2 linked regions of the Caenorhabditis elegans genome follow. The protein of the gene in region 2 interacts with the protein of the main gene of each other region in a biochemical or structural test. Each region holds a gene or a part of one and is shown on either strand. Other genes may lie near its edges. The genes, in order: sax-3 and sax-7.

Region 1 (3,924 bases), on a different chromosome or scaffold from region 2:
TCAAAACAACATCATTCCCCTGTTAGAATTTTTTTTACTTTCCTCATCTCCCATTCATCTTATTTCCACATACATCAACACTTTGATTTTATCCATCTTGACAATGTGAATAAGAAAGGAAACTTGTCCAAGTGCATTAAATCAATCTGACCGATCCGGCACGCGCAATACTGTCACATCTGTATTATGGTGTCGAAACGAACACCTTCCCTCACCGATTTTTCAGTAGAGATGTGCGACACTATTGTCCTTGACGGACGGTAGGTAATAAAATGATTCACTAGGAATTTTATCAAAATTTATGTATGTGTGTGTGTGTGTGTGAGTGTGGTAAAAACCTAGATAGTACATTAACGGCTGGTTTATTGGGTGTCGGTGGTCTATTACATAAGATTGCCATTGACCTCCGACGGATTACCCATCTTCTCCCATCTGCTTCAAAAAATATCAAAAAGCCATTTTGAATCACTTGTTTATGGCATTCACCCTGACACTGCTGCGCACACACTTAATAAAAATTTCAGCAGGCCGACTTGTTTTCCTCCACTTCAAAATACGGACCACTGTTGTTTTCCACTAGTAAATTACCAGACCAAAGTGTGGCTAACAAGCTGCCGGATTCAACAATTTAATTAGCCTGGCTGTCCTTCTGTCTCTTCTGTCACCTCTTTAACCTTTCAACAATCTAGCGTGCCAGTGTCAAAATGTGCGCACGCGAGTAAACTATCCATGAACCAATGTATTGTACTCTGGCTACAATTTAATGGCCGTGTTAACCTTCAAAATATTATACTACGCTGCCTGCCCGCCTTTTCATCCATAGGCAAGACAAAACCAAAGAGCTGTGAAGATGTACACATATCTCATCCTGTCAACACCCAATTTCACAATTCGCCCGTCATTCTTTCGCAACACATTGGTGTTGAAAGCTTCTGCTAAAAAGCAGGCTGTCTTTCTAAAACATGAGATGCAACTGAATATTTTGGACAGCGCCAACAGCTCATTAATAACCTACTAGTCTCTGGGGAGGGATTTCAAATAGCTTCTCATCTTCTATCAACCGCATGCTAATGATTCTCAATTTTACGGATATTCGCATGCATCTTAAAACTGTGCTAAAATGTTTAAATGACCCAGGTTGGGGCAATTTATCACATTGAATAATGACTTGCACATTGCACAAATTACATTGTGGAAATGTGGAAATGTGGAACAAGACAAATATCGAGAGTCTGCGGGTGGTCGCTCCCAACTGTTTCTTATATTTTCGTTGCAAATTACACTGGCTCTGGTCGCTGTACAAAAAGACTTATTGTTTTAAGAGATTAGCATTTGAATGGTGAATACTTGAGAACACGCGCCTCAATGAGACTAACTCCTCTCATTCATTTTCTATACCATTTATTCTCCCCCCGTCCTATTCACTATTGTTTTCTCAACATTACCATCCAAAAGCGGGGCTTGGCTCGGCCAAGAGGGCAGATGGCAGTCCAAAACGATAATCGAATCTTTTTACACTATAGTCGGCAAACGAGCTCACAATCCAAGCAGCGAACCCGCTTTTGGTGTTTGACAAAATGAAGAGTCATGTCTAATAGCGCAAGAGTAGAAAAAGCAGCGAGTAAAGAGCATTTTTCCAAGATGGAGGGCATTCGTTTCCGCGCATTCAGTCAATCTTCGTTTTAATCGCTTTCTTCGACATGGGAAATACAACCCAACCTAATGGATTTTCCAAGTTTCCAAGTGAATTCAAAGAAAACCCACGAGTGGATCGAATAGCGTGTCTTGTTGGCGACGCGTTTTTTTCACCATGTAACTTGACACTTTTGGTACATTCTTAACTTAACATTTTTTTTCTAGAAAAAAAAAACCAACCTTCGCAGAAGCTTCGGATTACTGCTTGCAATACCAGGAGGATAGTGCATAACAGCGTTTTTCGATTGAACATGATCTTGTTTTATTCAATCTGTGTCCAATTTCAAAGGCTGCATCTAATTGTGGCGGTGTTCTGAATTTCCAGTTGGGAGACACCTGCAAGAAAAACACAAAAGTAATCAAAGTTATTGGCGGTTGTTTTAAGAGTGGGCGACAAAATGACGGAAAGAGAATGAGGGAATATAAAAGGAGAAACAAGACAAAATAGGTGATGGGAAAAAGATGGAAAAGGGCGAAAAAAGCGTGGCCCTGGGTGTAATCATTCATCTTTGCTAGGGTGACACTCGGGAGAATAGATTTAGAAGGAAAAAAGGAAAAGACACAACAAAGTAATTGAAAAGTTGACGAGCGTCGTCGTCGTCGTTTTCAAGACGCGAAGACGATTTGTGCGTCCGTTTTTGCGCATTTTCGGTGGTGGTGGTGGTGGAGCGATTCGGACGGAAGCCGACCCTAAATTGGACTAGAGAGCCACATTCTAGAATGAAGAACAAATTTAGTCTTCTACGCGACGGAAGATGTTGGACAAAAAAAAATAAAGAAAAAATGCACGGGAGGCAAAAGTAGCCAGCAGGAAGACAAGCAACAAAAAAAATGAGGACGCAAAGTTAGGAGGCAAACGTAGTGAGACTGGTTAAAGATGACGCGCAGAAGGACGGATGAAGGATGGATATAGAAGATGAAAGAAAATGAACAAGTCGATTTTGAAAGGATTTTCTTAAATGCGGCGAGGCGTAATCAAAATTTGGTGTAGTGAAAAGGCAACTTGAAAAAGGAAACCTACTCTGACAAAAAATATAAAAAATCTTTAGTACTAAGTTCGTGGCAGATTGGGAAGTGTGCAGGAGTTGTTTCAAACTGCACAAGACTCCCGAAAAGCTATGCAAAATTTTATTTTACGCAGGAGTTGTGCAAGATTGTAGTAAGAATCCGTTGAAGTTTCAATCTAAGTAGAACTTCATCAAGTCTATATAGGCGTTTTACTTTACTTGGGAAATTTGATTTTTGCCAGAGTATCAATAAAATAACTATAGCTACAATTTGAACATGGAAATTAAAAACTTCAAACACAGCAAAATGGCCAAAATTAGGAAAATACCTTGAAATTAAAAGAAAAACGGATTTTCAACATCACCAAATGGTTCAAAATTTTTATACATACAAAAAGCTTTCATTGTTTCTCTAACAACCAAAAAGAAACAAATCACAATTTAGTACAAATGCATTTGCAGAACATTTAAAATGAGGACCGTTGAGACGAATTGCTAGAAGGCGTAGACGCAGAATGTTAGACATCAGATTTCCTCTTCAAGGTGTGTGTGCAATGCGCGGGGAGATAAACGCGCAAAGAGGAGTGAGACAAGTATCGATTTATGTTGTGCCAGCGATTGAATAATACTGATTAGATAAACTATCTGGCAACAGGCGGGCGAATAAGAAAAATCAATACGCTTTATTCTAGACAAGAAAGTACTCGAGAACATATCAAAGCTCTCAACTCAATAAGGTCGTCAGAAAGCTCATAATTGTCAGATAAATAACCTAAATAATGCGCGTCAAGAGCACGGCGATGACGGATGTCCATGTCATGCAAGCGGCTCGATACGGAACGAAACCGCATGGAATATGAGGGGATAGCCGGGGCTATACGTCGCCCCCTTCCCTGGTTAAGTAATTATTCCAATTCGTGGCCGCCCTCCTCTCACATTCGACTACCCGTTCATTAGGTCCATTGTAGACCGAACCTATGCCCATGGACCAACGAGGCAAACGATTGGGGGACGGGAGGACGACGAAGAAGAAGGAAAACCCGGCCCTGTCATACAACATCTGTCGTGTTGTGTCTATACGTTGTCAATGAGCAATAGTTACACTTGTAGTGGAACCGATAAAATTCGCAAGAATAGGTGGGGAGATTCGAAGAGCCTGTGATTTTTGCGGGGAAGCAGACGGTGGGGAAATGTGGAAAGTAAAAAAGTGAGAACCAGTGAC
Region 2 (3,924 bases):
TATAGAATCGAAACACTTTAAAAACTTCTGTTTGATTTGATTTTAATTGAAAAAAAATACATGGAAATTGAAGTTTTCTTTAGTATTTGAAGATTGGAACGAGCAGCAAATTTGAAACTTAATCGCAGAGATTATTCGTCTAGTTATTTTTTTTTCGAAAAATTGAATACGATACAGCCAGAAGCACTGAATAGTTTTTTCTTCAATCTTTCTCCAAAAATCGTTCAATTCTATGAAAATTGTTTGATTTTGGTTTACAAAGAACAGGGAGTGAATGAGAAAAGTTTTCTTGGCACAATGAGGTTACGAGAAACGATCTGTAAAAAGAATGAAAAAAAAAACTGTTATCACTCACTTGTTCATTGCTAGAAATATGACTACTACTGATAGTTTCGAAATGTCCCGGTTCTTTTCCCATAAGAATCCAATAAACTCTTGCGTATGGATTACTAGCAGGTGGAGAACAATTTCTTTGGTACGGATCTCCAACTTCGACAACTACAACTTCTGGTTCCGCAGTTTTGAAATGACGAATCCATGTTTCTTGTACACGGACAGGACGATCAACAGCTGTTCCATTCGAATTTTCAGCTTCACATTGATATAATCCGGCATCAGATTCATCAAGACGGGAGAACACAAGGCTTCCTGGAAAATGTCATATTTATTTCAGAACAGGTTTTCTGAAAAACCGAACTTTTTTTTAATGAGAAATCAATATTTCTCGGTTTTTAGGCCTAACCGAAAATTTCGATTTTTTTTGGATTTGAGGAAAAACTGTTTTCCTGTTTTTCCTGCATGTGGGAGTTTTATAATTGCACAAAAATAAAACAAATTTGTTTATATTTAAATGAAGTGAACTTTTTTCAAATCAGAATAATAATTTGAAACAAACATTTAACTATTCAGTTACTCCATCTTTTTAATTTCAAAAATGTTCCATATTCTCTCAATTTTAGATTTTTACAACAACAAAAAATATTCACCTTCTCCTGGTTTCTGAACAACTTTCTCCGGAAACATGGACGGCAGGAACGTCTTACCATCCTTTTTCCAACGATATCTGTAATAAAGAAAATAGTATAAAAAACATATTTTGAACACTTTTTAATTCTGGAAGTTGAAAAATAAAAATGCAAATGGAAACTGTTCGTAGAGCATAATGTTGAATTTTCAAATTTTTTAATGCTCCACCAAAACTGCCAAAAGGATTTTAAAGCAATTTTAGAAGCAGTAAAAAGACTTCGAATTTTTTTTCAAATTTAGATAGAAACTACCGTATCTTTCCCAATTAGTATTGCATGCAAGTCTAATTTTCAATAAAAATTATTTTAAGATATTTGAAGATTCATTTTTTTTTCTAAATTTTACTTTTTCAGAAACATTACAAAAAACTTACGAAGGCCTTGGATTTCCATTTGCATAGCAATGAATCGTTTGTTCGAGCAGATTACCGGGCGTATTTTTCGCCGATTCATCACTCATTCCACTTTTTTCGACTTTAAAGTAAACGGTATCTGCATTCTTATCGTGAACAAATTGTGGAGGAGTTTCGATCGCTGACCAATCTATGCTGCCTGAAACAGTTTTTATTAGAAATGTTGCTACATATATATGGATATTTGACAATTGTTTCTGTTATAGAAATATTTGTTTTTTGTTCATAAATTTGAGCACATCAAATGCTTTTCAGCGTTTTTCTCAATATTATTTATTTACAATTTTTTTCTATAAAAAGGCTTTGAATATCTTGATTCCATATTTATTTTCATTTTTGCCATTAAAAAACAACAAAAAAGGGCGTAAAATGATGTTGCAATCAAATATGTCAACATGAATCGCCAATCAAACAATTTTCGAAGCGATATGATGTCCTCGACGTCAAAAGAATTCTCACCTGATGATATGTGGCCAGTGAGTAACAAGAGGAATATGAAGCTCCTCATGATGGTGGTCTTTCGACGTGATCTAGAATCGCGTCGAACTTCGTTCGATACTCTTTTTCTATCCTGAAATTGGAATAAAGCTTGCGAAGAATTTTGAGAGAAGTTCGGAGAAAAAACAACGAGAAATGAAAAAAAAGGAAACGTTAAGAATTAAACAAACATGAATTAGTTTGAAAAAATAGAATCTTCCCTCAATTTTCAAGAAAATAATTGTACTACTACTTGTGCAAATGAAACTATTCTCGTACAAAATCTGATTCATCTTTAAAATTTCGAAAATTGGGATTACATTAAAACCGGAAAATAAACGAAAGACTTTAAAATCAGAAGAATGAAATAAAGAACTTCTTATTTTGTCTAGGTTTCTCCTTTTCCCGATTATGCAAATGAAAAAAAGCGAGAATTCATGGGAATCTACCCCGCTGACCGAAAAGTGACCATGAGGAAGCACGTTGGATTAACGATGAGAATAAGAAATTAAATCTGTTGTTTGATTCATTACGAAAATAAAATTAAGAGAAAAAAGTTTCGAAAATTATCAACAAAAAAAGTTATTTTTAAAAAAGTACAGACAAAAACATAAGGTGGAAAAAATGGAATGCAAGATGAGAAAAGAAGGGCATGAGGAGAAGTCAACGGGGGTGATAGATGTATTCGTTGACAGTCCACACACACACACACACACACACACACAGAACCGACGCAATCTGCGCATGGCGGTAGCCGATGGCATTGTACTTTACCGGTTGTCTCGTTTTTTTTTGCAATCAGAACGAGAGCTGCTCCATTCTTCAGAAGCGGCCGTTCTTCAAGGACGTTTTCAGGAAAGAAAAGGAAAAAAGAAAAATGCGTTCGCGTCACGCTACTCGATTTTTGTTGCTCAAAATGTTCTACGCACGAGATGTCACCTATGAGACGTATGGATGCGTGGGTAAAAGAATAACAAGACTTCAAAGATTCTGGGCCACAAATCATTTACGACAGAAAATAGGTGATTTTTATCCGAAAAAAGCTAAATTTTCAACACAGCGCGTCTGAAACATTCAAAACGGGAACATGATCAGGTTTTTAACGGAAAATGTGATTTAAACGTTATTTCGAATCGAAAACGACTTTCAGATGTTTTAATTTACTTTTAGACTAATAAATTTTGTAGTTTTACAAGTAAAAACACTAGAAAAACAGAGAAAATTCAGAGTTTTCGTTAAAAATCGTTTTGGCGGCGAAACAAAACAAATGCAAGTACTGTAGCAAAGGCGCGCAACAGAGCGCACATGCTCGGGTCTCGAAACGATTGCAAAATTTCTGGTCTACCTTTCGATCAAGCCTAGTTTCTCTATTGAATTATTCGTTTTTTCTTTGGATAACGCGATTTAAAAATTTTTTTTAAAAAAATTATTTCTAAAATAAAAAAATACAATTCAGTTTCATCGACTTGGAGACATGAAATTTTTGATGCGAAAAAAAAACCTGTGACACCACAGACTATATACTTCCGGAGCATTGTGCTAAGTCGATCGGACAGATTTCTCGAAATCCTTTCGTCCGCATTACTCTCTATATGTCACGGAAGAAGGTCGTAAAATGAGTGTGTCTCTGAGCCAAAAGAGGTCTGGTTATTTCTCCAAATTCATAAAATTTGGATTTGGCAGTTCACTCTCTTTTCCTCATTATTCATAACACATCAATCTTGCTTTCATGAACACCGCCACGATGAGCAGATCAAGCAGAACATAGAGAGTAGCTTCAACAGCAGTGAACATCAAAAAGAATGAATTATTAAATAAAGTTGCTATAGAGAAATGAGAAGGCACGCTTTAGATGTATCAATATAAGGATGGGTAGGGGAAAAAGAGGGTATCTTCCGTTTTCTACAGCGGTCGGTCGGGACGGTAATAAAACAAAAAGGACAGAAGACGAACACCCGAATCGTCACAGATGAATTGATGCTGCCACCCATCACGATAATCCTATCAAG

What was found.
Region 1: the proteins of sax-7 (region 2) and sax-3 form a complex in vitro, tested with the Caenorhabditis elegans proteins (one study listed by BioGRID).

What each region holds. Positions count from the first base shown.
Region 1 is NC_003284.9:3,463,895-3,467,818, forward strand, and holds the start of sax-3 (Protein sax-3), read right to left. Parts: upstream 2,034-3,924; 5' UTR 1,992-2,033; coding exon of another isoform or gene 1,962-1,991; 5' UTR 1,949-1,961; coding exon 1,876-1,948; intron 1-1,875. UniProt on the Caenorhabditis elegans protein: Required to confine migrating sex myoblasts to the ventral muscle quadrants during their migration through the body and for multiple aspects of sensory, motor, and interneuron axon guidance.
Region 2 is NC_003282.8:8,060,754-8,064,677, reverse strand, and holds the start of sax-7 (Neuroglian), read right to left. Parts: upstream 2,020-3,924; 5' UTR 1,947-2,019; coding exon 1,898-1,946; intron 1,578-1,897; coding exon 1,400-1,577; intron 1,064-1,399; coding exon 987-1,063; intron 649-986; coding exon 356-648; intron 1-355.